4 linked regions of the Anolis sagrei genome follow. The protein of the gene in region 1 purifies or fractionates together with the protein of each later gene. This does not show direct contact. Links are inferred from orthologs where the notes say so. Each region holds a gene or a part of one and is shown on either strand. Other genes may lie near its edges.

What was found. The genes of interacting proteins can lie anywhere in the genome.
Region 2: the proteins of BCL7C (region 1) and ACTL6A purify together in Homo sapiens (affinity purification with mass spectrometry; 3 studies listed by BioGRID and IntAct, counting the BioPlex papers as one, with this or other methods). This does not show direct contact. The link is inferred for Anolis sagrei from reciprocal best matches to the Homo sapiens genes BCL7C and ACTL6A.
Region 3: the proteins of BCL7C (region 1) and SMARCD2 purify together in Homo sapiens (affinity purification with mass spectrometry; 3 studies listed by BioGRID and IntAct, counting the BioPlex papers as one, with this or other methods). This does not show direct contact. The link is inferred for Anolis sagrei from reciprocal best matches to the Homo sapiens genes BCL7C and SMARCD2.
Region 4: the proteins of BCL7C (region 1) and SMARCD1 purify together in Homo sapiens (affinity purification with mass spectrometry; 5 studies listed by BioGRID and IntAct, counting the BioPlex papers as one, with this or other methods). This does not show direct contact. The link is inferred for Anolis sagrei from reciprocal best matches to the Homo sapiens genes BCL7C and SMARCD1.

The regions. Positions count from the first base shown.
Region 1 is NC_090026.1:14,296,304-14,303,273, reverse strand, and holds the start of BCL7C (B-cell CLL/lymphoma 7 protein family member C), read left to right. Parts: upstream 1-3,960; 5' UTR 3,961-4,715; coding exon 4,716-4,807; intron 4,808-6,970. UniProt on the Homo sapiens protein: May play an anti-apoptotic role.
Region 2 is NC_090023.1:257,608,903-257,616,437, forward strand, and holds the start of ACTL6A (actin-like protein 6A), read left to right. Parts: upstream 1-4,530; 5' UTR 4,531-4,627; coding exon 4,628-4,652; intron 4,653-7,206; coding exon 7,207-7,283; intron 7,284-7,535. Other genes in the region: NIFK (MKI67 FHA domain-interacting nucleolar phosphoprotein), read right to left, coding at 2,420-2,554.
Region 3 is NC_090026.1:37,945,199-37,952,657, forward strand, and holds the start of SMARCD2 (SWI/SNF-related matrix-associated actin-dependent regulator of chromatin subfamily D member 2), read right to left. Parts: upstream 3,006-7,459; 5' UTR 2,960-3,005; coding exon 2,777-2,959; intron 1-2,776. UniProt on the Homo sapiens protein: Involved in transcriptional activation and repression of select genes by chromatin remodeling (alteration of DNA-nucleosome topology).
Region 4 is NC_090022.1:140,190,841-140,198,013, forward strand, and holds the start of SMARCD1 (SWI/SNF-related matrix-associated actin-dependent regulator of chromatin subfamily D member 1), read left to right. Parts: upstream 1-4,168; 5' UTR 4,169-4,193; coding exon 4,194-4,364; intron 4,365-4,499; exon of another isoform or gene 4,500-4,613; coding exon of another isoform or gene 4,614-4,655; intron 4,656-6,620; coding exon 6,621-6,808; intron 6,809-7,173. UniProt on the Homo sapiens protein: Involved in transcriptional activation and repression of select genes by chromatin remodeling (alteration of DNA-nucleosome topology).

The sequences.
Region 1 (6,970 bases):
ACAAGAGAGTCTAAACATGGTCAAAGCCAGGTCTTTAATTGTGCGTGGAAGGTTTGGAGGGTGGGGGGCAGCCTGTTGTTGTTGTTGTTGCCCTGCTTTCCTTTCTTATACTGGCAGGGTTGAACTAGAAGATTTTTGTGTGTGTGTCAGAAACAACTTGAGAAACTTCAAGTCACTTCTGGTGTGAGAGAATTGACTGTCTGCAAAGACCTTGCCCAGGGTACGGCTGGATGTTTTGATGTTTTCCCATCCTTGTGGGAAGCTTCTCTCATGTCCCTGCATGGGGAGCTGGAGCTGACAGAGGGAGCTCATCCGCACTCTTCCCAGATTCGAACCTCTGACCTGTCAGTCTTCAGTCCTGTTGGCACAACCCATTAACCCATTGCATCACCAGGGACTCCTAGATGATATCTTCTAACTCCATGATTCTAGGACAATGGAAGGGCGCTTCTTCCTACAGAGTACTTAGGCAACCTAATTATCCCAAAACATAGGAAGGTGTTCTCTTTGGCTAAATTCAATGTACTCCCTTCTGCTGTACTGGAGGAAAGAGATAACAAAGTACCATACGATGAATGCCTATGTCCCTCTGAGGCTGAGGCAACAGAAACTATGGATCACATTTTGTTGTACTGCTCTTTTTACCGAGACCTTCGTTAACATTTTATAAATCCTATTTTAGAAAGTTTATCAGGGAGATATGTAAAGTTTTATGTTGATTATCTTTTGGCTGACCAACACCCCAAATTACTGCTAAAGTTGCTAGCTTTTGTGCAGCAGCAATAGCTTGTCGTCACAAGATGCTGTCACACTCTTAGAAGGTTTTAATATTTACTCCAGTTTTTACCATTGTCATTTTGGCATATACGTGTTTAATACCGTTTTAACTTTCATATTCAATACTGGGTTCTAACTTTGTTTTTGACATTGTTTCTTAATGCCTAAATGTATATGTTCTTATTCTGATGTATGTACATTTATTGGTGCTGGTCATTGACCGTAAATAAATGTATATACAGTTTGAGTATCGTTCATCTGTAATTTTGAAATTGCAGATATTCCAAAACCGTTCTTAATGTTTTATGCCCAACACTAGCCATCCCCTGCCACGTGTTGCTGTGGCCTAGCCCGGTGAACTGGAAAATAAAGTAATGAGAAAGTGTTGGCTTCTAATATATGTAATTTCTTTATGCTTGTGGATAAACATTACTTCTTGTTTTTTTGGTCAATATTGATGTAGAGATTGTCTGGTTTGCCTACTCTGGAACATGGAACATATTATTGTCCTTCATTAGGAGTCCCTTTCAAATCTATATTATATCTGTCATATGTGTGTGTGAATCATATATATCTATCTATATCTATGGCTGGATGGCTCTTTGTCAGGCTTTGATTATGTTTTCTTGCCCTGGTGAAGGCAGTTGGGCTGGATGGCCTTAAGGCAGCATTTCTCAACCTGGGGGTTGGGACCACTGGGGGAGGGGATCACAGGGGGGTGCCAGAAGGGTTGCCAAAGACCACCAGAAAATACAGTGTGGTCATGGGGGTTCTGTGTGGGAAGTTTGGTACAATTCTATAGTTGGTGGAGTTCAGAATGCTCTTTGATTGTAGGTGAACTATAAATCCCAGCTACTACAGCTCCCAAATGCCATGCTCTGTTTTTCACAAACTTCACCAGTGTTCACATTTGGGTATATTGAGTATTCATGTCAAGTTTGGTCAAGATCCATTATTGTTTGAGTCCAGAGTGCCAGGTTTGGTTCAGTTCCATTGGTGAGGTTCAGAATGCTCTTTGATTATAGGTGAACTGTAAATCCCAGCAACTACAACTCTCAAATTACAAAGGTGTCTTGTGTTCAAATTTGGTGTCAATTCGTCCAGTGGTTTTTGATTTATGTTAACCCCACAAACAAACATTACATTTTTATTTATATAGACTAGCTGTCCCCTGCCACGCGTTGCTGTGGCCCAGTCTGTGTATATGTGTTTTGTGTGTGTATATATTTGTGAATATATGTGTCTTTGCATTTATATATGTGGCTTTGTACATGCATTATAATGTATATATTTTTGTTTTGTTTTGGGCTTTTAAAGTCTCTTCTGCTGTGTTTTTCAGTGTTTTATGAGTGATGGTCACTTGTCAGCCTGAGAGGCGTATTGTGTCCAAATTTGGTGTCAATTCATTCAGTGGTTTTGGAGTTATGTTAATCCCACAAACGAACATTACATTTTTGGGTTGTTGTATGCTTTTTCAGGCTGTATGGCCATGTTCTAGAGGCATTCTCTCCTCACGTTTCGCCTGCATCTATGGCAAGCATCCTCAGAGGTAGTGAGGGGTGTTGTTGATATTTGCCATAGATGCAGGCGAAACGTCAGGAGATAATGCCTCTAGAACAGTGTTTCTCAACCTGGGGGTTGGGACCCCTGAGGGGGTCGTGAGGGGGTGTCAGAGGGGTCGCCAAAGACCATAAGAAAACACAGTATTTTCTGATGGTCATGGGGATTCAATGTGGGAAGTTTGAGCCAATTCTATCGTTGGTGGAGTTCAGAATGTTCTTTGATTGTAATGAACTGTAAATCCCAGCAACTACAACTCCCAAATGTCAAGATCTATTTTCCCCAGACTCAACTAGTGATCACATTTGGGCATATTGAGTATTCATGCCAAGTTTGGTCCAGATCTACCATTGCATGAGTCCACAGTGCTCTCTGGATATAGGTGAACTACAACTTCCAAACTCAAGGTCAATGCCCATCAAACCCTTCCAGTGTTTTCCATTTGTCAGGGGAACCAAGTTTGGTTCAAATCCATCACTGATGGAGTTCAGAATGCTCTTTGATTATAAGTGAACCATAAATCCCAGCAACTACAACTCCCAAATTACAAAATCAATCCTCCCCCAACCCCACTAGCATTCACATTTGGGTGTATTGGGTGTTTGGTACAGGGAATGAAAATGCATCCTGCATATCAGATATTTACATTATGATTTATGACTGTTATGAAGTAGCAATGAAAACAATATTATGGTTGGGGGCAGGCATGTAGCCGGGGGGGGGGGGCTTGAGGGGCTTCAGCCCCCCCCCCCGAAATTCTCATGGTGGTTCGCGAAAAGGCCTTACTGGTGCATTATTTAAACTTATGTTTATTCATATCATGATCTGATCACCATACTCAATATATCCCATATGCATGGGGGTATTGGGGCAACATTACAAAAGGTTTGCTAGGCTAGACCCTCTTTCACTCAGACTCAGCCCCCCCCCGAAACTCAGCCCCCCCAAAACTCCCCCTTAAATTTTTTTAGCCCCCCCCCCCAAAACGAAATCCTGGCTACGGGCCTGGTTGGGGGTCACCACAACATGAGGGACTGTATTAAGGGGTCGCGGCATTAGGAAGGTTGAGAACCACTGCTCTAGAACATGGCCATATAGCCCAAAAAAACCTACAACAACGCAGTGATTCTGGCCGTGAAAGCCTTCGACAATACATTTTTATTTATATAGATTATGAAAAGTCATATGTATAGACCTTTGGGTGATGCATATAAAGTCTCTATGAAACATAAATGAGTTCTACGTTGAGACTTGGGTCCCATCCCTAAGCTATCTCATTATGTAACTGCAAGAATGCCAAAATCCAAAATGCAGGACTCATCTGTTCCCAAGCATTTCGGACAAGGGATGCTCAACCTGTAATCAAATGATAGACATCTTTTCAAAACCTCACTGTACGGTCTCTTCCTAAAACCTGCAGCCCTAAAGATCTCCTATAGCACTGTCGCTTAGAGTACAAGGGAATGGTGTTGAGTCACCAGATGTGTATCTGCAAATGTGTTATTTGTTTCTTCTTTTTTCTCTTTCTTATCTGCATCTCCACCTGCAGGATGCAATCCTAAAAAGAGTCAAGTCAGGAGACTTTTCTGGCTTCTCCTAGTCAGCAGATGGCGCTCCTTTAGTTACAAATCTCTATTGGAAAGAGACAGAAAAAAACCACAGAAAGAACTATATTATTTTCTTCCGATGGTGAACTGCCTTTTTTCCGTTCTCTCTTTTTTTTGTCTTCCCCTTTTTGTGTGTGTGTGTGTGTGTGCAAAGGCTGGACAGGAAAAGAAGACAAAAGAGGAGGAAGTCCAGACCGGCAGAAGCTCAAGAGGAAGAGAGATGTGCAGGAGAAGGCTTGAATAAAAAAGAAGAAGAAGAGAGAAAGAGAGAAAAGGAGGGGGGAGAGAAAAGGAGAAATTGTTGACACATCATTGACAGAGGAGGACCGCTTGATGGAGAAGCTGTGGCGAGATAGATGGAGGACCGAGTGACGCAGATGCTTTCCAGCACTGTGATTCCTGCAGTGAGCAAAAACAGGTAGAGAGGAGGGAGAGGAACAGGTAGAAAGAAAGAAAAAGATAGATAGAAAGAAAAGAGAAACAGCAAGGGAAGTGTGAGATGGGATAAAGGGAATGGACAAGCATCAACACAAGATTGCCAAGTAAATAAATACAGAGTCTTGTCATCTTCTCCGAATCCAGCTGGAATACCATCACACTCCAAAAGTTGGACCAAAAGAAAAAGAAGAAAGAGTAAAGAAAGAGTGAAATGGGATAAAGGGAACGGGCAAGCTTAAGCCAAAGGTTGCGATCCAGCTTGGAAGCCAAGATTCTTATTATCTACCCCACATCCACCTCTGACATCAACACAACCCCAAAAGTTGGACCCCGATGTCGGGACGGGCGGTTCGAGCAGAGACGCGGAGCCGGGCGAAAGATGACATCAAGAAAGTGATGGCAGCCATCGAACATGTCCGGAGATGGTGAGGCCCAAGGCTTGATTATAGTATTTGTTGACAGTGGTCCAACTTTGGCCAGAAATGTAGTTAAATGTATTGTCGAAGGCTTTCATGGCCAGAATCATTGGTTTGTTGCAGGTTTTTTCGGGCTATATGCCTGCATCTATGGCGAGCATCCTCAGAGGTAGTGAGGATACCTCTGAGGATGCTTGCCTCACTACCTCTGAGGATGCTTGTCATAGATGCAGGCGAAACGTCAGGAGAGAATGCCTCTCAACCATGGCCATATAGCCCAGAAAAACCTACAACAACCCTGTAGTTAAATGGGTTGTCTTAAGTTTTTCGGGCTGTATGGCTATGTTCTAGAAGCATTCTCTCCTGCCGTTTCGCCTGCATCTGTGGCAGGCATCCTCAGAGGTTGTGAGGTCTGTTGGAAGCTAGGAAAATGGGGTTTATATATCTGTGGAAGGTCCAGGGTGCTTCAGAGCACTTGATGAACATAATGCCTGCCACAGATGCAGGCAAAACGTCAGGAGACAATGCTTCTAGAACATAGCCATACAGCTCGAAAAAAATTACAACAACCCAGTGATTCCTGCCATGAAAGCCTTTGACAATACAAATGTGGTTAACGTAGGCAAACCTATCTATTTTTGGTCAGTCATCAGATCACTGCAGTAAGTGTTTTATTGGGACTTCACAGGGACCTGGCAACCTTATATTATTTCTGTGTTGTGGGTACATTGTTGGACCTCCAAACCAAGCTTCCAAGGTGTGGGGCACAGGATTAATTTAATGTGTCTTTATTATTGTTTGCCATGCCCCTATCTACACTGCCATGTAATGCAGTATGAAATTACATTATATCAGGTATGGGCAAACTTTGGCCTTCCAGGTGTTTTGGACTTCAACTCCCACAATTCCTAACAGCCGGAGTTGAAGTCCAAAACACCTGGAGGGCTGAAGTTTACCCATGCCTGCTTTGTATGGTTAGCGTAGACTCATATAATGCAGTTCAGTGCAGTTAAACTGCATTCTAGAGTGGGCTGGATCCAAATTTAATTTGTATTTCCCCCCCTAAGGAACTGGTTACAGTTTAGAAAAGTTACTCTTAAAATTATACCTCCTAGAACTGTCATTATGCCAGCCAACAGGGAAAACATGCATGCTGCCTGATTGGGAAGGAGTTCTAGGAACTATAGTCCAAAAAAAGAGCAACTTGCAAGCTTTGTATTAAACGACTATGACTAAACTGCAGTGGTGCAACATATCTGATGCAACCACATTATTCTTTCTCTAAGGAGAGGTAAATACCCGTTTTTAGATGGGTTGTGAGTTCTTCGGTGTATGCAGTTTGTGCAGGTGGTCGTTATTGTTGTTAGTATAATATTTATTTATACCTCACTATCCTCTAATTCAGTGTTTCTCAACCTGGGGGTCAGGACTCCTGGGGGGGTCGCAAAGGGGTGTCTGAGGGGTCACCTCGCAACCAATTTTCTGTAGGTCATGGATTTCTATGTGGGATGTTAGGCCCAGTTCTATTGTTGATGGAGTTCAGAATGCTCTTTGATTGTAGGTGAACTATAAATCCCAGCAACTACAACTCCCAAATGTCAATTCCCCAAACTCCACCAGTATTCACATTTGGGCATATTGAGTATCCAAGCCAAGTTTGGTCCAGATCAATCATTGTTTGAGTCTGCAGTGCTCTCTGGATGTAGGTGAACTACAGCTCCAAAGCTCAAGGCCAATGCTCACTGAACCCTTCCAGGATTTTCTCTTGGTCGTGGGAGTTCTGTGTGCCAGGTTGGTTCAATTCCATCGTTGGTAGAGTTCAGAGTGTAGGTGAACTATATATCCCAGCAACTACAACTCCCAAATGACAAAATCATCCCCCTCCCCCAACCCCAGCAGAATTCAAATTTGGCCGTATTGGGTATTTGTGCCAAATTTCGTCCAGTGAATGAATACATTCTGCATATCAGAGATTTACATTACGATTCATAACAGTAGCAAAATTATAGTTACGAAGTAGCAATAAAAATAATTTTATGGTTGGGGGGCACCACAACATGAGGAACTATATTAAGGGGTCGCGGCATTAGGACGGTTGAGAACCACTGCCCTAAAAGCACCAGATTCCATCTATCGAAAGCCTAGCAGGGTCAGTTCTGGCTAGTATTTGGA
Region 2 (7,535 bases), on another chromosome or scaffold:
TATAAAATTACTATTGCTGCTCTGGCTTGCAGGTGCTGTTGGCTTGTTGGTATCATTAGTTATGTAATACTCTTTTAATTCTATTTCAAATGATTTTTGGTTTCTGTAAATTGATTTCTATGTCAATTTTTTTTTGTGTCGAGTTGAGTTACTTGATAGCTAAGTTTAATTTGACTGTAGATATTGGTTCACTTGGGACTTGGTCAGGCTGTTATTGTACAGGGTTAGTCAAAATGAATAGGCCAATAAGAAAATTAATTGTACCCGAATTGGCCTATTCATTTTGACTAACCCTGTACTTGTATTTGAATTTATGGTCATGTGAAGGCACTGAAATTTTGCCTTTTTGTTTGTTGGAATCTGTCCTGAATCCCCTTGGGGAGATAAGAGTTTTATTATTATTATTATTATTATTTGAAACACAACAAGATGAGCTCACAGCAGACAAGATCACTCTGCTGGCTGTTGTATTGGATCACACATCGGACACTTCCCAAGTGTCTAGGATTGTGTGATATATTGGCGAATAATGTGTGCAGATCCCAGTAAGGTGACATTCTGCAGCTAGCAGATGGTAATTTTGTCAGTGTCGATTGTGTTTAAATGCATGCCAAGGTCTTTAGGCACTGCACCCAGTGTGCCAATCACCACTGGAACCACCTTTACTGGTTTGTACCAGAGTCTTTGCAGTTCGATCTTTAAATCCTCATATCGTGTCAGTTTTTCCAGTTGTTTCTCTTCAATCCTGCTGTCACATCGACAATCCGTACTTTGTTTTTTAACATGATCGTGAGGTCAGAAGTATTGTGCTCCAAAACTCTGTCTGTCTGAATTTGGAAGTTCCAGAGTAGTTTGACATGTTCATTTTCTGTAACTTTTTTCCAGATTATGATTCCACCAGTTCTTTGTTGCAGGCAAATGGTATTTGTGGTATTATTATTATTATTTAATCTGCTAAAGATTGCTGGTGCCTTGCCAAACTACAACTCTCATGAGCCACGGCTCTTAATGTGGGCAAGTCAATGAGATGTGGAAAAAAATATATTAATGTATGAAAACGAATTCAAGAGGACTAATAAGGACAGGGCTAACACATAAATATATCTGTTTATCCTTCCAATGAATTATGCTGGGGGAAATGGAAGGAAAAAGGAAGAGGGGTCGACCAAGGGCAAGATGGATGGATGGTATCCTTGAAGTGACTGGACTGACCTTGAATGAGCTGGGGGTGGTGACGACCGACAGGGAGCTCTGGCATGGACTGGTCCATGAAGTCACGAAGAGTCAGAAACAACGTAACGAATGAACAACAACAGCCTTCCAATAATCAGCATAGCACCCCTAATATCTGGGCCCCCCTGGTGGTGCAGCAGATTAAACCGCCAAGCTGCTGAACTTGCTGACCAAAAGGTTGGCAGTTTGAATGCGGGTGAGCTTCTGCTGTTAGCCCCAGCTTTTGCCAAGCTAGCAGTTCAAAAAGATGCAAATTGCACCACAATTCAAGAGAGATATTGACAAACTGGGATGTGTCCAGAGGAGGGCGACTAAAATGATCAAGGGTCTGAAGAACAAGCCCTATGAGGAGCAGCTTAAAGAGCTGGGCATGTTTAGCCTGAAGAAGAGAAGGCTGAGATGAGACATGATAATAATGTATAAATACGTGAGAAGAAGTCACAGGGATGAGGGAGCAAGCTTGTTTTCTGCATCCTTGGACACTAGGACGTGAAACAATGGCTTCAAACTACGAGAGGAGATTCCATCTGAACATGAGGAAGAACTTCCTGACTGTGAGAGCTGTTCAGCAGTGGAACTCTCTGCCCCGGAGTGTGGTGGAGGCTCCTTCTTTGGAAGCTTTTAAACAGAGGCTGGATGGCCATCTGTCAGGGGTGCTTTGAATGCAATATTCCTGCTTCTTGGCAGGGGGTTGGACTGGATGGCCCATGAGGTCTCTTCCAACTCTTTGATTCTATAGCAGATCAATAGGTAGCATTTCAGTGGGAAGGCAATGGCACTCCATGCAGTCATGCTGGCCGCATGACCTTGGAGGTGTCTACGGACGACGCCGGCTCTTCAGCTTAGAAATGGAGATGAGCACAAACCCCAAGAGTCAGACACTATAATGTCAGGGGAAACCTTTGCCTTTACCTATTTATTTGTCGTGTCAGATCAACCAGTCAATTATATTACATTTCTAACAGAACAAAGCAAACAGACAAAATACAATACCTTTACCTTACCTACCCCTAATAGCTGCTAAACTGTACATGGGTTTGGGTCAACTTGGGCCCTTTAGGTGTTCTGGACTCCAACTACCGGCTGTTAGGAATTGTAGGAGTTGGGAGTCCCAAACACCTGCGCATGCGCAGTGCAGCGGCACCCTAAGAGACTCTGGTGGCGCTTCCCCCTCCTTCTCTCTCACCTTGCCTTTCCGCACGCGCTGCACCTCAGCCTGGAACTCTTGCTGTCGGTCCAGGTCCAAGGAAAGGAGCGGGGCCGCCTGTCTGGCCTTGGCTTTCGCCTTCGCCGCGGAAGAGCCTTCTGTTACCGCCGCCATGGCGCCTCCGCAGCAGGAAAAGGGGCCGCCTCTGCCTCACACGGCGTGTGGCTGCCAAGAAACGGAAGCCTCCTCTCGTCACTTCCGCTTGGCTGGCTTGGTGCCACAGTAGGAACAAGGACGGCAGAACAGCGGCCCCTGCTGGCTGGGGGCGGAAGTACTGGATGAGGAGTGACTCCAGTGATATTCACAAATGCAAAGACAGCCAGACCTCCATATCCTCGCATTCTATATAATATAATATAATATAATATAATATAATATAATATAATATAATATAATATAATATAATATAATATAATATAATATAATATAATATAATAATCATCATTGTATATCATAGGATATACGTGTGTGTGTGTTTAAATTTGGGTCCCATATACATTTCTCTCTCTCTCTCTCTCTCTCTCTCTCTGAAGAGCAACCTTTGATTTTGCCATTTTACAGAAAGGTCAACATTTTACTATGTTGTTGGGCCCTGTTCCATTATCATCACTGTATATCACATGAGATATGTATGAACTTGGATCCTATATATATATATATATAATCATAGAATCAAAAAGTTGATCATACAGTATTGGATAATCAAGAAAGGTATTTTATGCAAGGCTGCACTTAGAATCAAAGACTTGGAAGAGACCTCATGGGCCATCCGGTCCAACCCTCTGCCAAGAAGCAGGAATATTGCATTCAAATCACCCCCGACAAATGGCCATCCAGCCTATGATTAAAAGCTTCCAAAGAAGGAGCCTCTACTACACTCCAGGGCAGAGAGTTCCACTGCTGAACAGCTCTCACAGTCAGGAAGTTCTTCCTCATTTTCAGATTGAATCTCCTCTCTTGTAGTTTGAAGCCATTGTTCCGTTGCGTCCTAGTCTCCAAGGAAGCAGGAAACAAGCTTGCTCCCTCCTCCCTGTGGCTTCCTCTCACATATTTATACATGGCTATCATATCTCCTCTCAGCCTTCTCTTCTTCAGGCTAAACATGCCCAGCTCCTTAAGCCGCTTCTCATAGGGCTTGGCTAGTGTATGTATGTATGTATATATATATATATATATATATATATATATATATATATATATATATATACTAGCCATCCCCTGCCATGCGTTGCTGTGGCCCACATGGGGGTTCTGTGTGGGCGGTTTGGCCCAATTCTATTGTTGGTGGGATTCAGAAGGCACTGTGATTGTAGATGAACTATAAATCCCAGCAACTACAACTCCCAAATGTCAAGATTCTGTTTTCCCCAAACTCCACCAGTGTTCACATTTGGTTATATTGAGTATTCTTGTAGAGTTTGGTCCAGATCCATCATTGTTTGAGTCCACAGTGCTCTATGGATGTAGGTGAACTACAACTCCCAAACTCAAGGTCAATGTCCAGCAAACCCTTCCAATATTTTCTGTTGGTCATGGGAGTTCTGTGTACCAAGTTTGGTTCAATTCCATTGTTGGTGGAGTTCAGAATGCTCTTTGATTGTAGGTGAACTATAAATCCCAGCAACTACAACTCCCAAATGACAAAATCATAATTTTTTGAGTGATGGTCACTCCTTGTGTTGTGAGACGTTTTGTTGCCAAATTTGGTGTGATTTCATTCATTGGTTCTTTTGTATATATATAGATAGATATAGAAGATAGATAGATTAATTAATTAATTAATAAATTAAATAAAAATATTAATAAAAATAAATTAAAATAATTAAAATAAAAAATAAAACAGATTAAACTCCCAAGCAAAACATGCAGAAATCCAATGCTCTCCCTTGACTAGACTTTTCCCTCTGTGCTGATCTTCCCACCAAAACTACTACAAGGCAACCAAACTTGAATCTTCTCCTCCCATTGGAGGGACACAAACCCTATGATACCTACTAGGCAAAACGAAAGCCAATCAGGAGAGCCCTTTGCAGTTGGCTCCTCCAGCGATAGGCGGGCTTTGGAACAGCGGCGGGCTGCCGATTGGTGGAGAGAGGGAGAGGAGGCGGGCCTTAGCGAGGTAGAACGGGAGAAAGGGATCCCGCCGCGCGCTGTGAAGAGAAGCAGAGCGGAGCCTCGGTTGCAGCCATGAGCGGCGGGGTCTACGGAGGAGGTGAGCGGAGGGCTTGGCGCATGCGCGAGATGGGAAAGCCAGGCGGGGCTGCGGCGCCTTTAAGACCGAAGGGAAGGGGACTCTCCTTTGAATGACTCTGGAGTGGAAAGCAGGCTAGACTCTCTGAAGTTGCAGCTAGACCAGGCCTGGGCCAACTTGGGCCCTCCAGGGGTTTTGGACTACAACTCCCACAATTCCTAACAGCCGGTAGGCTGTTAGGAATTGTGGGAGTTGTAGTCCAAAACCCCTGGAGGGCCCAAGTTGGCCCAGGCCTGCCTGATCAGAAATACAAGCTGATGGCTTTGCTGACATCTTCCAAACTAGCTCTCACTCCTTGATGGATTGTCACTTTGTTGTGTTTGGAGACTTGTTAGGAGACTTGTTGTGGTTAGGAGACTTGTGTCTTCCAGGCCTCTGTAACTTCAATGTATTTTGCCCATAAACTTACTTATTTATTTGTTTATTTATTTATGATATTTCTACCCCGCCTTTCTCGAATCCGAAGGTGACTCAAGGCGGCTTTTCAACATCAATCCAGACAAGACAGAGGTCCTCCTGGTCAGACGCAAGGCCAAACAGGGCATAGGGTTACACTCCCCCTTTTATTTTGTCGTGTCAGGAGCGACACAAGAGACTGCAAGTCGCTTCTGGTGTGAGAGAATTGGCCGTCTGCAAGGGTGTTGCCCAGGGGACGCCCAGATGGTGCAGGTTTGCAGCTTGGGAGTCATCCTGGATTCATCGTTGAGCCTGGAACACCAGGTTTCGGCGGTGACCAGGAGAGCTTTTCCCGTACCTTGGGAAGTCTGACTTGGCCACGGTGGTCCAAGATCTACAAGCCACTCTAAATACCTTTGCAGAAGCGTACACGAAACTTGGCCCGTCACTGAACATCGAGAAAACCAAAGTGCTGTTCTAGCAGTCACCAGCCATCCCCTCTCCAATGCCAGAGATACAATGGTGCAACATTAGAAAATGTTGACCATTTCCGCTACCTTGGCAGCCACCTCTCCACCAAAGTCAACATCGACACCGAAATACAACACCACCTGAGCTCTATGAGTGCAGCATTTTCCCGAATGAAGCAGAGAGTGTTTGAGAACCAGGACATCCGTAGGGATACCAAGGTGATTGTCTATAAAGCTATTGTCCTCCCAACCCTGCTATATGCCTGTGAGACGTGGACTGTCTACAGACGTCACATGCAACTCCTGGGAAGACAAGCAGACAAACGTCAGTGTGCTGGAAGAAGCAAAGACCACCAGCATTGAAGTGATGGTCCTCTGCCATCAACTCTGCTGGACCGGCTACGTTGTCTGGATGCCTGACCACCGTCTCCCAAGGCAGTTGCTGTACTCTGAACTTAAGAATAGAAAACGGAACGTTGATGGACAGGAAAAGAGATTTAAAGATGGGCTCAAAGCCAACCTTAAAAACTGTGGCATAGACACCGAGAACTGGAAAGACCTGTCCCTTGACCGCTCCAGCTGGAGGTCAGCTGTGACCAGCAGTGCTGCAGAATTTGAAGAGGCAGGAATGGGGGGCGAAAGAGAGAAACGTGCCAGGAGAAAGGTGCGTCAAGCCAACCCCGACCAAGACCGCCTTCCACCTGGAAACCAATGCCCTCACTGCGGGAGAAGATGCAGATCAAGAATTGGGCTCCACAGTCACCTATGGACCCACCAGAATACTGAGCCTGGAAGACTATCCTACTCGGCAGCCAGTGGAGATGGTGTAACAAGGGCGTTGTGCACTGCCTGTACCCAGCCCCAGTGAGCAACCTGGCTACTGAACGTTGGACTAGTTGAGGCTTCCGGGCAGTCTTCCGGGTTGCCTCTGAAGACTGCCCGGAAACTGCAATAAGTCCAACGCTCGGCAGCCAGGCTACGGACAGGAGCGGGGTACAGGGAGCACACAACTCCTCTGTTGCGCCAGCTCCACAGGCTGTCAATTACCTTCCAAGCACAATTCAAAGTGCTGGTTTTAACCTACAAAACCAGATACGGTTTCGGTCCAGTTTACCTGTCCGAACGTATTCTCCCCTATGAACCATCAAGGCTGTTAAGATCTTCCAGAGGGGCTCTGCTCTCAGTTCCACCACTTTTGCAATTGTGTCTGGTGGGGACGAGAGACCGGGCCTTTTCCATGGTGGCCCCTCGGCTATGGAACTCTCTCCCAAATGAGATTAGATCTGCCCCCTCTCTCCTTACCTTCAGGAAGCTAGTGAAATCCTGGCTATGGATTGAAGCTTTCCCAGAATAATGGCTGAGACCGGCAACAGACTAAAGTTATTGACATATGCGGACTAAGTTGGACATGATTTTACCTTGGTGAACTGGCTTATATGTATTTTACTTTATATGTATTTTAATCTACTGTTGTATGATGTTTTAAACTGTGTTGTGGCATTGTGAGCCGGTCTGAGTCCCTCTGTGGAGGTTGAGAAGATCGGGATATAAAAGTTTTGAATAAATAATAAATAAATAAACTTATTTGCCTCATAAGATTTTGTTTTTGTTTAATCAAAGTTATCCAGAGTCTATATTTGTGTTTGCAGATGAAGTTGGAGCTCTGGTCTTTGATATCGGGTCTTACACTGTGAGAGCTGGCTATGCTGGAGAAGACTGCCCAAAGGTAAGAACAAAAGTGGGCTGTTATTACCTGGTAACAATGGCATCGTCTACACTGCCATATAATCAAAGCAGATTATCTGGATTTTATATGGCAGTGTAGTAAGAGCCATCGTTTCGTGCCAGAAATACAGTTTAATGGTGTAACATTAGAAAATGTATTGCCGTATTCCTGAAGAATTCTCAGAGGTGATGAGGTCTGTTGGAAACTAGACAAGTGAGGTTTAAATATCTGTGGAATGTCCACGGTGGGAGA
Region 3 (7,459 bases), about 24 Mb from region 1:
AAACAGTGGATGTGGCTCTTAATGAGACATGCCGCATTATCACAGGATGCCTATATCCTACGCCATTGAAAAAATTATTCTGTTTGGTCGGTACTGCACCATCTGATATGTATCGAGAAGTAGCAGCCAGTAAAGAAAGGACCAAGGCATTGACATCTCCAGCCCACCCTCTGTTTGGATATCAGCCAGCATTCCAACGTCTTAAATCAGAAAATACTTTTCTAAGATCTACAGAGATAGTCGCAAGAACATCTTGGCAAACACGAGTCCAAAAGTGGCAGGCTAAAACTTGAAACATCAAACAGTGGCTGACACAGGATCAGAAACTCCCTTCTGGGTACACAGAAGACTAGGCGACTAGGAAGACACTGAACAGACTGCGCTCTGACACCACGAGATGCAGAGCCAATCTTAAGAAATTGGGCCACAAAGTGGAGTCAACGACATGAGAGTGTGGAGAAGAGCAAACCACATATCACTTAACTACAATGCAGGCTGAGCCCTGTCACATGCACAATAGAGGACCTTCTTTCAGTGACACCAGAGGCACAGAAATTTTTGCATTATGCCAAGTTTTTAACTTTGTTTGTGTTTATTTTAAACTACCATCCCTTGCCACGCGTTGCTATGGCCCAGTCTATATATATGTTCTTTGTGTGTGTATATGTGTATATATTTGTTTGCGTATATATATGTCGTTCTGCACATGCGTTGTAATGAATTTTTTTATTTTTTGGCTTTTAAGATTCTTCTGCTTTGTTTTTCAGTGTTTTTATGAGTGATGGTCACTCGTTGGCCTGATAAGGGTATTGTGTCCGAATTTGGTGTCAATTCGTCCAGTGGTTTTTGAGTTATGTTAATCTCACAAACGAACATTACATTTTTATTTATATAGATTCATTATAATACACAGGACTGTATTCAGTGCTGTGCCAGCAGGACTGAAGACCGACAGGTCGCAGGTTCGAATCCGGGGAGAGGCGGATGAGCTCCCTCTATCAGCTCCAGCTCCTCATGCGGGGACATGAGAGAAGCCTCCCACAAGGATGATAAAAACATCAAATCATCCGGGCGTCCCCTGGGCAATGTCCTAGCAGACGGCCAATTCTCTCACACCAGAAGCAACTTGCAGTTTCTCAAGTCGCTCCTGACACAACAAAAATAAATAAATAAATAAAAATCCAGGCATCCCCTGGGCAACATCTTTGCAGATGACCAATTCTCTCACACCAGAAGCGACTTGCAGTTTCTCAAGTTGCTCCTGACAGGACAAAAAAATTATAATTGTTTTCTTAATTCACTTCTGACACGATAAATCAAATGTTAATTGAAGACCTGTAGCAAAATGTCCTGCAGGATGTCCTGCAAAAAAAACATATTTTTTTTTGCAATTTCATAAACTTTTTTCATGTTTTTAATGATAGATCTAGGGAAGTAATGCTACCCCTCTATTCTGCTTTGGTTAGACCACACCTGGAATACTGTGTCCAATTCTGGGCACCACAATTCAAGAGAGACATTCACAAGCTGGAATGTGTCCAGAGGAGGGCGACTAAAATGATCAAGGATCTGGAGAACAAGCCCTATGAGGAGCGGCTTAAGGAGCTGGGCATGTTTAACCTGAAGAAGAGAAGGCTGAGGGGAGATATGATAGCCATGTATAAATATGTGAGAGGAAGCCACAGGGAGGAGGGAGCAAGCTTGTTTCATAGAATCATAGAATCATAGAATCAAAGAGTTGGAAGAGACCTCATGGGCCATCCAGTCCAACCCCCTGCCAAGAAGCAGGAATATTGCATTCAAATCTCCCCTGACAGATGGCCATCCAGCCTCTGTTAAAGAGCTTCCAAAGAAGGAGCCTCCACCACACTCCGGGGCAGAGAGTTCCACTGCTGAACGGCTCTCACAGTCAGGAAGTTCTTCCTCGTGTTCAGATGGAATCTCCTCTCTTGTAGTTTGAAGCCATTGTTCCGTGTCCTAGTCTCCAAGGAAGCAGAAAACAAACTTGCTCCCTCCTCCCTGTGGCTTCCTCTCACATATTTATACATGGCTATCATATCCCCTCTCAGCCTTCTCTTCTTCAGGCTAAACATGCCCAGCTCTTTAAGCCGCTTGTTCTCCAGACCTTTTATCATTTTAGTTGCTCTCCTGTTTTCTGCTTCCCTGGAGACTAGGACAAGGAACAATGGCTTCAAACTACAAGAAAGGAGATTCCATCTGAACATGAGGAAGAACTTCCTGACTGTGAGAGCCGTTCAGCAGTGGAACTCTCTGCCCTGGAGTGTGGTGGAGGCTCCTTCTTTGGAAGCTTTTAAACAGAGGCTGGATGGCCATCTGTCAAGGGTGATTTGAATGCAAAATTCCTGCTTCTTGGCAGAATGGGGTTGGACTGGATGGCCCATGAGGTCTCTTCCAACTCTTTGATTCTATAGAACCAATTAGGAAATGATGGAAATAACCCAGGAACAATAATCGTGTTACATAGTGTGAAGTGGATTCAGAAACTGGATTTGACAGCAGTGTAGACAGCGCCTCTGCCATGGAAGCCCACCAGGCGGGTCACACACTCTCTCAGCCTCAGAGAAGGCAAAGCAAACAACTTCTGGGCAAATCAACAAAACAAAACCAAACAAGAGATGGGGAAAAAACATTCAAAGGCACACAACAGCAGCTTGCTTTGAAAGCCAAACCTTTCCTGGCCCAGACACGTGTCTAAAAGCCATGCCTTCCTCGTGTGTGCTGCTCCCCGACACTCCCTCCTCCAGAAGCCACCTACTTGGAAGGGGACTCCGTGCGCCATGGGCCGGAATGGGGTGGCCCCGGGGCTGGGCCCTCCTCGCAAAAGCACACCGCCTCCGGGCCCCGGGGGAAGAGGGACGCCTGCTGAGGCCGAGAGCGCCATGGAAGGCAGCCTCTCGGGCGGCGAGGCCATGGGGAAGTTCCCGCCGCGCCCGGCCATCGGAGGAGAAGCAAGAGACGAGTCCTTCCTCAATCGGAGGCAACCGCCGTCTGAGGGGAGAGAAGAGGAAGCGGCTTCGATTGACTGACGAGGCGAACGGCTCCCTCAGCCAATCGGAGGCCCCGGCAGCGGCAGGCCCCTCCCCCCAGGACCGCCCTCTCCGTCAACCGCCAAGAGAGCGGGAAAGGAGGCGGGGGGACTGAGAGAGGGAAAGGGAGGGAAGCGAGGCCAATGAGCGCCTGACGAGGCCCAGCGCCAAAGAAGCGCCTCAGAGAGGCACGCGGCCCAGTCACGAGGGCAAACACACACACACACTCTCCCTCTGACTGGAATGTTTATGTCCAATCCATAGTTGTCTCTCATACATATATACATACATTCACACACACATATATCTAGCGTTACAAATACAAAAAACAATGCCCAGTATATATATATATAATAATCTATCGAAACCCAACCTTGCCACCAAAGTAGGAAAGAAACCAATAGCCAGGCAACCAGATATTGAGAACAACAACCTTCAAGAACCTTTTACATCTACTGTGCTGGTACAACTGCACCAGGAGCTCCAATTTTGTTTGTTTTGCATTGAATGTTTGTTGCAGTCCTAAGTTTCAGGGACTCTGCAGATACGTGGCTTCTTTTGGCTGCAATCATAGGGCAAGCCACCTGTCAATTATAGTTAGGTTCCCTGGTCCTGTCCCCCTTTTGGGTTTTTGGAGGGAATAGGAGCCTTTTTGGGTCAGTCCACACAGCGAAGCCTTTCGCACATGACATAAAACCAAGAGCTCCTGTAGAAAGTAGGGCTGGGTGGTTTCGTTTCGTTAATTCGTAATTCGTTAAAAAATCGTTATTTTTTTTATAACGAAGCAATAACGAACCATTCTGGAGCAACTTTAAAACGAAACGAATTTTTAAATTTGTTTCGTAATTGTTTCAGATTCGTTATGTATTCGTTTCGTTATCGTTTTGAAGTCGTTTCGTTATTATTTCCGCATGTCTGGGGCAAGTTTTATAGTTGTTTTTTGTTTAATTAGTTAAAAAAAATTATAATATCACACCAACAGTCAACAACAGAGGGAGAGGGAAGCTTCAGAAGTTCCCCCTGTCCCATTTGGAGGTTTTTTAGCGTATTTCGCGGTCGCGTCCGCCATTAACGAATTGATTCGTTATTGTTTCGAAATCGATTCGTTATTGTTTCGTAATTTTTTTAACATTTACGAAATTTCGTAAATATCGAACTTTTTAAAAGAAAAATTTCGGAATTCTTTTTAAAACCAAAACGCAAAAACCCCCAAAAAACTAATCGATTTTAGAAACAAATTTTTCCGTTGTTACCCAGGCCTAGTAGAAAGCTTTGTCTTCTACGGCTTGGCCGGAGAGATATACAGCCTACAGCTTGGCCAGGGTTATACAGCCCACAGCTTGGCCAAGGATCAGATAGCCTTACAGCTCCTTTGCTGAAGGACTTCAGTCAGCCATCACTGAAACCTGAACTCCTTTTTCCCTGGAAGTCTACAAAGCTCTGCTTGGTAAGGGTCGCTCGTGGAAGCCAGACGCAGTTGGTACCGGGTGCAGGGGCTCCACGCCAACAGAGGCAAAGACAGACTGCCCAGATTAGAAGTTAAGGATTTCCCCATTAGTTAGTTACAGTTAAGAAGATAGTGACTGTTCCCAGTGGACAAGAGTCAATAGACTATTAAGAAAGCCTTGAAGTACCTGTTTGTTTTCAATAATAAAGAACTTTGTTGAACCTTTAAGCAATCTAAAGACTCTGTCTGGGGAAATTCAAGGGTCTTTAATCTGAGGCAGCCCCAGCGTCCCGTTGGGCACACAGAATTTGTGTCCTGTCTACAGTCTTATGCACAGGCCCAGCATGCGACAGCACATCTACTGAATTGGACATGGCTCCCAATAAATGTAAAAATGGCAAAGCAGCTGGCCTGGATGATCTATGGATGGAACAAATCAAGAACTTTGGTCCAAAAGCAAGGCGCTGGCTGCTGGAACAGATGAACAATTGCACTGCATCCTGTCAGATCCCCAAAATCTGGAGGAAAGCAAGAGTCATTGCCATCTTGAAGCCAGGCAAAGGCCGTAATGATCCAAATAGCTATAGATTAATCTCCCTGTTGTGCCACCTCTACAAAGTTCTGGAGAGACTTATTTTGCATAGAATTACGGAAAAAATAGACCAATGTCTGATCCCACAGCAAGCTGGCTTCAAGAAAGGCAAAAGCTGCACATCGCAAGTGCTGAACCTGACTCAGCGCATAGAAGATGGCTTTGAAAGGCAGCAGATCACAGGAGCTGTCTTCATAGACCTGTCAGTGGCTTATGGTATTGTAAACCACCGCCTCCTCCTGAGAAAGATGTATAATATCACAAAGGACTACCATCTCACCCGCCTCATAGGAAACCTGATACAAAACAGGAGCTTCTTTGTTGAGTTCCAGGGCCAGAGAAGCAGATGGCGGAAAGAGAAGAATGGCCTGCCTCAGGGGAGTGTGCTTGCTCCATCCATGTTCAACATTTACACAAAAGACGAGCCACTGCCAGAAGGGACAGAGAGTTTCATCTATGCTGATGATCGTGCCATTACTGCTCAAGCAGGGAGCTTTGAGATGGTTGAACAGAAGCTCTCCGAAGCTCTAGGTAATCTTACTGCCTATTACAGGGAAAACCAGCTGATTCCTAACCCATCTAAAACACAGACATGTGCTTTTCACCTTAAGAACAGACAAGCATCCCGAGCTCTGAGGATTACCTGGGAAGGAATCCCACTGGAGCATTGCAGCACACCCAAATATCTGGGCGTCACTCTGGACCATGCTCTGACCTATAAGAAGCACTGCCTGAATATCAAGCAAAAGTGGGTGCTAAGAACAATATCATATGAAAACTGACTGGCACAACCTGGGGATCACAACCAGACACAGTGAAGACATCTGCCCTTGCGCTATGCTACTCTGCTGCTGAGTATGCATGCCCAGTGTGGAACACATCTCACCACACTAAAACAGTAGATGTGGCTCTTAATGAGACATGCCGCATTATCACAGGGTGTCTGCGCCCTACACCACTGGAGAAATTACACTGCTTAGCCGTTATTGCACCACCTGACATCCGCCGGGAAGTAGCAACCAATAGTGAAATGACCAAGGCAGTGACATCTCCAGCTCATCACCTGTTTGGGTATCAAGAAATAGTTTTCTTAGATCTACAGAGACACTCGCTGGAACACCTCAGCAAGTGAGAGTCCAAAAGTGGCAGGATCAAACTTAGAACCTCAATCAATGACTGATACCAAATGAGAGACTCCTCCCTGGGCACACAGAAAACTGGGCAACTTGGAAAGCACTGAACAAACTGTGCTCTGGCACCACGAGATGCAGAGCCAACCTTAAGAAATGGGGTTACAAAGTGGAATCCACGACATGCGAGTGTGGAGAAGAGCAAACCACAGACCACCTGCTGCAATGCAACCTGAGCCCTGCCACATGCACAATGGAGAACCTTCTTGCAGCAACACCAGAGGCACTCCAAGTGGCCAGCTACTGGTCAAAGGACATTTAATCAACTACTAAGCTTGCAAACTTTGTGTTTTGTTTGTCTGTTTGTTTTTTTGTTTGTTAAAAAATGCAATGCAGCTGTTTGGTCTGCTCCTGACATGATAGATAAATAAATAAATAAATTTATCGATGATTTCGGACAGATGGCAAGCTATTTAACCTCAGTAGAATGAAAGCCAGAACCAAGGTTACAACATTTGTTATAGAACTCCAATATGTTGATGACAACATCATCTGTGCGCATTCAGAAGAAGGTCTACAAGCCACTCTTAACACCTTTGCGGAAGCATATGAGAAGCTTCGCCTGTCAATGAACATCGAGAAAACCAAAGTGCTCTTCCAGCAGTCACCAGCCAATTGCTCTCCAATGCCAGAAATACAGCTTAATGGTGTAACATTAGAAAATGTTGACCATTTCTGCCAGGCATGTAGCCGGGGGGAGGGGGGGGGGCTCGAGGGGCTTAACCCCCCCCCCCCCCCCCCGAAATTCTCATGGTGGTTCGTGAAAAGGCCTTACTGGTGCATTGTTTAAACTGTTATGTTTATTCATATCATGATCTGATCACCATGCTCAATATATCCCATATGCATGGGGGTACTGGGGTAACGATACAAAAGGTTTGCTAGGCTAGACCCTCTTTCACTCAGACTCAGCCCCCCCCCCCCCCGAAACAAACTCAGACCCCCCCCCCCCAATCGAAATCCTGGCTACGGGCCTGATTTCCTCTACCATGGCAGCCACATCTCCACAAAAGTCAACATTGACACTGAAATACAGCACCGCCTGAGCTCTGCGAGTGCAGCTTTTTTCCAAATGAAGCAGAGAGTGTTTGAGGACCGGGACATCCGTAGGGATACCAAGGTGCTTGTTTATAAAGCTATTGTCCTCCCAATCCTGCTATATGCCTGTGAGATGCGGACTGTC
Region 4 (7,173 bases), on another chromosome or scaffold:
AAATGTACCATCCATAGTAATGACCAGTTGACCTAATTCTAGGCAAAATTTCTGGCTGAAAGGCATGGGCCAATGAAGAACAATGGGAAGCCTATGTAGCCCAGCAGCCTGCCTATGTAGCCCAGCAGTGATCAGTTTGATTGGCCTGCTAAGCCAAGGTGAGAGACCCATCAGGACAAGAGCACAATGCCGCACTCCCTTCATGCCTCCCAGAAAGAGAGATACAGCAGAGACCTATTCCCTCTGATCCTGGGGGCAATACACAGCCACCATAGCGAGTGGTATGGATAACCACAACCTTCATGAGAAGGCTGGTGCCTGAATGCAAGCAATCATGGATCTATAACTGAACAAGTTATCTTAGCAGGGTGCTCCCTTCTCATATCATGAGTATGATGTCAAGCACAAATACCCCCCCTCCCTCCAATCAACCACCAAATTATATGAACTTGGTGGCATGGCAGAGTGTTCCGCAGGTTAACATGGCTTTTATTTTTATCAGAATGAATTATGCAAAAATCCGAAGGTCTGGAGAAATCCAGCAGCATATACCAGCGCCCAGAGAATACCTCCTAATCCCATTAAGGTTTAAACTTTTTTTAAAGCATCACTTCTGCATTCTTCAGCTGTGCCAACAATGGCCCGGGCCACATGGCCCAGACCCCCCAGAGCCCCAGGACAGGGCCCATTCATAGCCTCATCCTCCAAATAGCCCCTCATAAACAACCATTGCCACCTCCTAACCACTCTGGGAGCCCCAGCAGGCTCCCAAGCCCTATTTTGCCTCTTTTTGCATTTTACTGGTATTGTAGACATTCACTTATCCGCAGATCTATATAACTTTCCTCTCTCAATTAACCTACCTCATAATCCCCTTCCTTGCACTGAATCCCCTATCCCATCACCTATGTCAACCCAACCCCCTGTGGATACGGAGATTCAGATGATCTCCCTCTTCACCCATGGGTTCATTTGCATATGTTTCCCTGGGGGGGGGGGTCAGCTTGTCTAATGTCTAGATACCTTTGCCTTCACAGAACCCTCATGTATATGTTTATCTTTTCCTTCCTATTATTTCACCTGTTTTCCCCAATGGATGCCCAGGGAGATTGACTCCCTTTGTTAACCTCATGTAGCCCCTCGTGCATGTGTCCCTATGTCCCCTGGATAGTGGGTCTCTGTGGGTCAGGTCCCCCACAGTCCTTGGGATTCCCCTTTGTGTGTATATGTTTAATTTCTTTATGCTTTGTATTATATAAAACTTGGAGAACCAGCCACCATGGTGACCTTTCAAGCCAGCACGTCTTCGCTCAGGGACACCTCCAAGCCACTCCCTGAGCTACAACTTGATAACCTTGGATGTAATCACCCAGCAATTGTGAACGGTACCCAGGCTACATGGAACAAGAGATATTGGAGCAGGGCCATCTGTAAACTATGTAGCCACTTGGACTTCTATAGACATTTACCACGAGAGAGAGAGAGACAGATCTTGTGTGAGGAGCGACTTGAAAAACTGCAAGTTGCTTCTGGTGTGAGAGAATTGGCCATCTGCAAGGACGTTGCCCAGGGGATGCCCAGATGTTTTTGATGTTTGACCATCCTTGTGGGAGGCTTCTCTCATGTCCTCGCATAAGGAACTGGAGCTGATAGCTCATCCGCGCTCTCCCCAGATTCGAACCTGCAACCTGTCGGTCTTCAGTCCTGCCGGCACAAGGGTTTAACCCACTGTGCCACCGGGGACTCCACATAGACATGACATGTTCTCAATGGGGAGAAGTTCGCTGTCTTGTTTTCCTACATGTCACTTCTGTTTTCCCAGGCACGAATCAATGATCCAATCACCCAAAGCAATATTTTTTTGTTGGACAACAAAGGACATTGGTGCGGAGTCATCACCCCACAAAGTCAGAAATTCACAGGACCATTTGCAAAACAATAAAATACTCAGCGATACCTTAATCCCATTCGATTTTTCCAACTTGTTACTATGTTGCTGTTGTGTAAAGTTTCCGTTCAGCCCCTCTTCAGCCATTGGAGAGCACTACATCTATATCCGAGGCAAGGAAAGTTCTCCCATGACCAGTGAACACCGCAGTCACACCTCTGCAGAGAGACTCCTCTGACATCATCGGAGTTTGGCCAATCACAGCCAATCTGGGTCCAGTTGCGGGCAGTGGGAATTTTGAATCTGTACTGTATAAAATGCTTACTTTTACTATGTCTGTATCTCAGCTTACTTTGGTGGGATACTGCGGGTTGAGATCTCAACCAGCTGATTGAATAAAATACTTTGGTGGCTCCATCTCCAATTTAGCTCACCAGGCGCTCGGACTCGTGAAATGGTTGTCGACTGGTACCAGCTGCTGCTTAACAGAGCCGGTATCTGTGCCTTCAGGTTCCAGTATCCATGGCAGGGTCTCATCCATGACCGTTTTAAATTGCTCTCAATTTCAAGTAAACACACAAAAAATAAATAAATTAAGTTAAAAGCTTGGAGTCGTGGTTTGAGTGACTCTAGAGACCAGCTAAAATAAGTTAACATTCAGGTTAACGTAAGTCAGAAATAACTTGAAAGTACACAACAAAAAGGGAAATTACATTAGGATTGGGCTACCTAATCCTCTCTGAATCAAGCCTTATAATGTGCTCCTTAGACCAGACCCATCCACGTCAACAGGGCGTCCTTTTCAGTCAAGGCCATATAATGCAGTTTAAAACTAGTCTTCACGCATGGTTTATTTAACTCATATCATATCTTGTGTGATTAATGTGTATTTTACAGAAATGCTTTGATTTGTATCTTTTATGGAAATTAATTTTAATATGTTTGTAGAATTTTTATAATTGTTAACTGTGCTGTGGGAAGGCTGTGGGAAGGCAGATAGGAAATACAATTATTATTACTATTATTATTACATTACATATGGCCAGTGTAGGCTCATATTAATGCAGCCTAGTACAGTTCAAAATACACGAGTCTGCACTTATATAATACAGTTCCAAAGTAATAAGGGCCTTATCACACTCCACTCTTAAATGGCTATTGTTCCACTTTAATGGTAATGGCAATATTTTGCAGAATGACCTAGCTTATAGTTTAGCAAGGCCCAGTAGCTTTTTTGGCTGACAACAATAAATGGCCTGGGTTTCTGTGAGTTTTCTGGGCTGTATGGCCATGTTCCAGAAGCATTCTCTCCTGATGTTTCGTCTGCATCTATGGCTGGCATCTTCAGAAGTTGTGGCATGTGTTGGAATCTAGGCAAGTGGGGTTTATATATCTGTGGAACATTCCGAGTGGGAGAAAGAACTCGTCTTGGGTTGTTGTAGGTTTTTTCGGGTTGTATGGCCATGGTCTATAGCAGGGGTCCTCAAACTTTTTAAACAGAGGGCCAGGTCACAGTCCCTCAAACTGTTGGAGGGCCGGATTATAATTTGGAAAAAAAAAAAACATGAATGAATTCCTATGCACACTGCATGTATCTTATTTGTAGTGCAAAAAAACCCACTTAAAACAATACTGTAATTAAAATGAAGAACAATTTGAACAAATATAAACTTATTGGCTGATGAGATAGGATTGTTGTTGTTGTTGTTGTCGTTGTGTGGTTTCAAGTCGTTTCACACTTAGTTTGATCCTGAGTGAGGGCCGGATAAATGACCTTGGAGGGCCGTATCCGGCCCCCAGGCCTTAGTTTGAGGACCCCTGGTCTAGAGGCATTCTCTCCTGACGTTTCGCCTGCATCTACGGCAAGCATCCTCAGAGGTAGTGAGGTTTCACTACCTCTGAGGATGCTTGCCATAGATGCAGGCGAAACGTCAGGAGAGAATGCCTCTAGACCATGGCTATACAGCCCGAAAAAACCTACAACAACTCAGTGATTCTGGCCATGAAAGCCTTCGACAACTTTTGGCTTGTTTGAGGCAAGTGTGAATGTTGCAATTGGCCACTTGATTAGCATGGAATGGCCTTTCCCCATACGAACAGAGAAGGGCGCTCCTGACGCAGGCTGCAATGGCAGGCCGCCGTCCAGCAGGGGGAGTCCCGCGGGGCGCTCCTCTGCGCCTCTCTCTCTCCCCAGCCGGCGGCGCTCTACCCGCCCGCGGGCGGCGTCTCCATGGTGCAGCGGCGCTCCATCTCCTGAGCCGACATCCGCCTCCCCTCCGCGCTTTGTACTGCCCAGGGAGGGAAGATGGCGGCGCGGGCGGGCTTCCAGGCGGTCGCTCCGAGCGGTGGCGGCGGCGGAGCCGGGCCTGGAGCGGGGCCTTTAGGGCCTGGCGCCGCGGGGGGGCCTCCGGTGCGGATGGGCCCGGCCCCGGGGCAAGGGATGTACCGCTCGCCGTTGCCCGGCGCCGCCTACCCGGTACCGACCCGGCCGGGCTTGGGAGGGGAAAGAGAGGAGGCGAGAAGGGGCGGGGCCAGGAGGGGGCGGGGCTTGGCGGGCGATGACGTCGGCGGAGGGAGCCGCACTGCAGTGGGCGGGGCCTGGCAGGCCTAGAGGGAGGGAGAGGGAGGAGGGGAGCCATTCCAGAAAGATGGAGGCGGAGAAGAGGGCGCCATCCTTTCAGGGGGGATTTGGGGGATAGTAGGCTCTCTTGAAAGAGAGGGCAATATGGGGGTGAGGCTGCAAGGGCGAGTGGGGAGAGACTCCGGGGTGAGCATGACGCCCTCGAAAGGGGGAATGGCGGGGGATCCAAGGGACACGGGGCTTCAAGGGGGGAGGGAGAGGGGGAGGGGAGGCAGGGCGGGGCTGGGCCAGAGGGCCTTTTGTGGCTTGCCTCTCTTCGATTTCACTGCCTTTGTAGCATCTCCCTCCGCCTGAGTGTGTTTTCCTTTTTTAACAAGGAAACAAAAGGAGAACAATGTCTCAGCATGAAATCAGAGGCATAAAATTATAGTTATGTCCTTGCTAGTGAGCTGGGGTATTTTATTAGGATTTGAATTTATCTATTTTAAACCATTCTACATTTAATTTTCTTTCAAGTTTATGTTGTTTATTGTGTTGTTTTTTAGCCTGTGGGGGAGGGCGCTTTGAGTCTCTTTATGAGAGAAAAAGCAGGATATAAATAAATAAATATTATTATTAAGGTTCCTTCTCCGGAGGTTTTTAAGCAGACTATCTGTCGGGAGAGCTTTGATTGTGTGCTCCTGCATGGAAAAATGGGGTTGAAGTGGAGGGCCCTTGCAAATCCATAGAATCCTAGTGTTGGAAGAGACCTCATGGGCCATCTAGTCCAACCCCCTACCAAGAAGCAGGAAAATTGTATAAAGCACCCCTGACAGATGGCCAACTGTATGATGCTAGGATTCTATGATTTAGTACTATTTATTTATTTTGTATCAAAAGCATTGCTTGAATTAGTATAAACTAATAAAAATAGAAGGAGTGCAGGCGGCTAAGTATCTTTTGACCAAAAACGGGCAACAGCAATGGCATTGTCTGTAGCCTCCAACAGTTCTTCCTTTGTACGTGAGGCAAGGCATAGTGGACCAAGCATACAGATGCGGAGTTGTCTGTTCTGCTCCATAGTCATACAATAATAATGGGCGAGGGTTCAGGTTTCTGGACCCAGAGGTGCTGAAAAGATATTGAAGCTAAAGGCTGGCTTATGCAGTTAGTAAGGCTAAATGATAAGTATTTTTTCATTACTTTGCATGTCAAGTAAGAGTTGCATGGCTGGATGCTTAACTGTTGGGAAGGTAATGACTTTTCTTTACATGGAGGAACAGCATGCAATGGCTGGGCATAGGCCAAACACTCTCAACCTCCAGCTGTTTGGGCCTCCGTCTCCCAGAATTCCTGACCATTGAACAAGCTGGCATGGGCTTCTGGGACCTGAAAGCCCAAATAACTGGAGGGCCACAGTTTGAAGAGACCTAGCATAGACTGAGAGGGCCTGTCATTGGTGCTGCTTATTTGGGGTGGGGGGGGGGGGGAGTGAAGAGAGAAATCAGTCCTGAGGGCTTGAAAGCTGTCTGGGGGGGTGGGATCTCTGACTCTGTGCAAAGGGCTACAATCCCCTCCCCACTCTGTCCAAAAGCACGCACCTTGTATAGTGAGTCTCTAGGCATGGGCAAACTTGAACCCTTCCAGGTGTTTTGGACTTCAACTTCTGCAATTCCTAACCAGCCCAGGCCCTTTCCTTTTCCCCCTCATCCCCTTAAGCATTCCAGCCTAAGAGAAAAGAGAACTTTCTGGGAAATGTTACATTTTTGGAAAGGAGGGAGAAAATAACCTATAGGAACAGATTTAGATATTCCAGAAAGGACTGTGAGCCAGCTTCTTGTATAAACCAGTTGTAATAAATGTTCTTTGCAACTAAGGATAAAACTATTGCAGAAGAATGAATGCAGTTTAGCACCACTTTGGTTCCATACTTTGGAGTTGTGGGAGTTTTAGTTTGATGAGACATCATCACTCTTTGGCAGAGAAGGCAAAGGACCCTTTAAAATTACAACTCCCAAGATCCCATAGTATGGCGCCATGGCAGTTAAAAGTGATGTCAAACTGCATGAGTTCTACACTGTAGATGAACCCAAGGTGTTTTGCTGTTGAGTAACCAGTGCTTTTCCTGACTGAACACTGGTAATCACAGGGCTGTTTTTCCTCCTTTCCCAGCGTCCCGGGATGCTGCCTGGCAGCCGCATGAACCCCCAGGGACCTGCAATGGGGCCTCCGGGGTATGGCGGGAGCCCTTCAGTCCGACCAGGGATGGCTCAGTCAGGGATGGACCAGTCTCGCAAGAGGCCAGCCCCTCAGCAGATCCAACAAGTGCAGCAGCAGTCCGTGCAGAATCGTAATCACAAGTAAGAAGCGCTTTTTCTCCTCTAGGGGTGGGGGACTACAACTCCCATTGCCCAACTATATTGGAATAGGATGACGGAAAATGTAGTATAATACACCAAGTTGGGGAAGGCCAGTTACAGATTTCTTTTCAGATGTGTCTTTAAAAATACCTTATACTAGTGTTTCAGTAACATGATCTTAAAGTTGGAAGATGGGGTGACAGAAGCTACAAAATGAGAGGTTGAGGCAGTATGAGCCCTGGTAATTGTCCCAATCAAATTAGGCGCGTGGATTCTTTTTTTTTTTCAGTAGTGAGTCAACATACGTGTAGATCTCATAACTTCAGTGAGTCCACTCTATCTGGATCTGTCAGTCAAATTTGGAC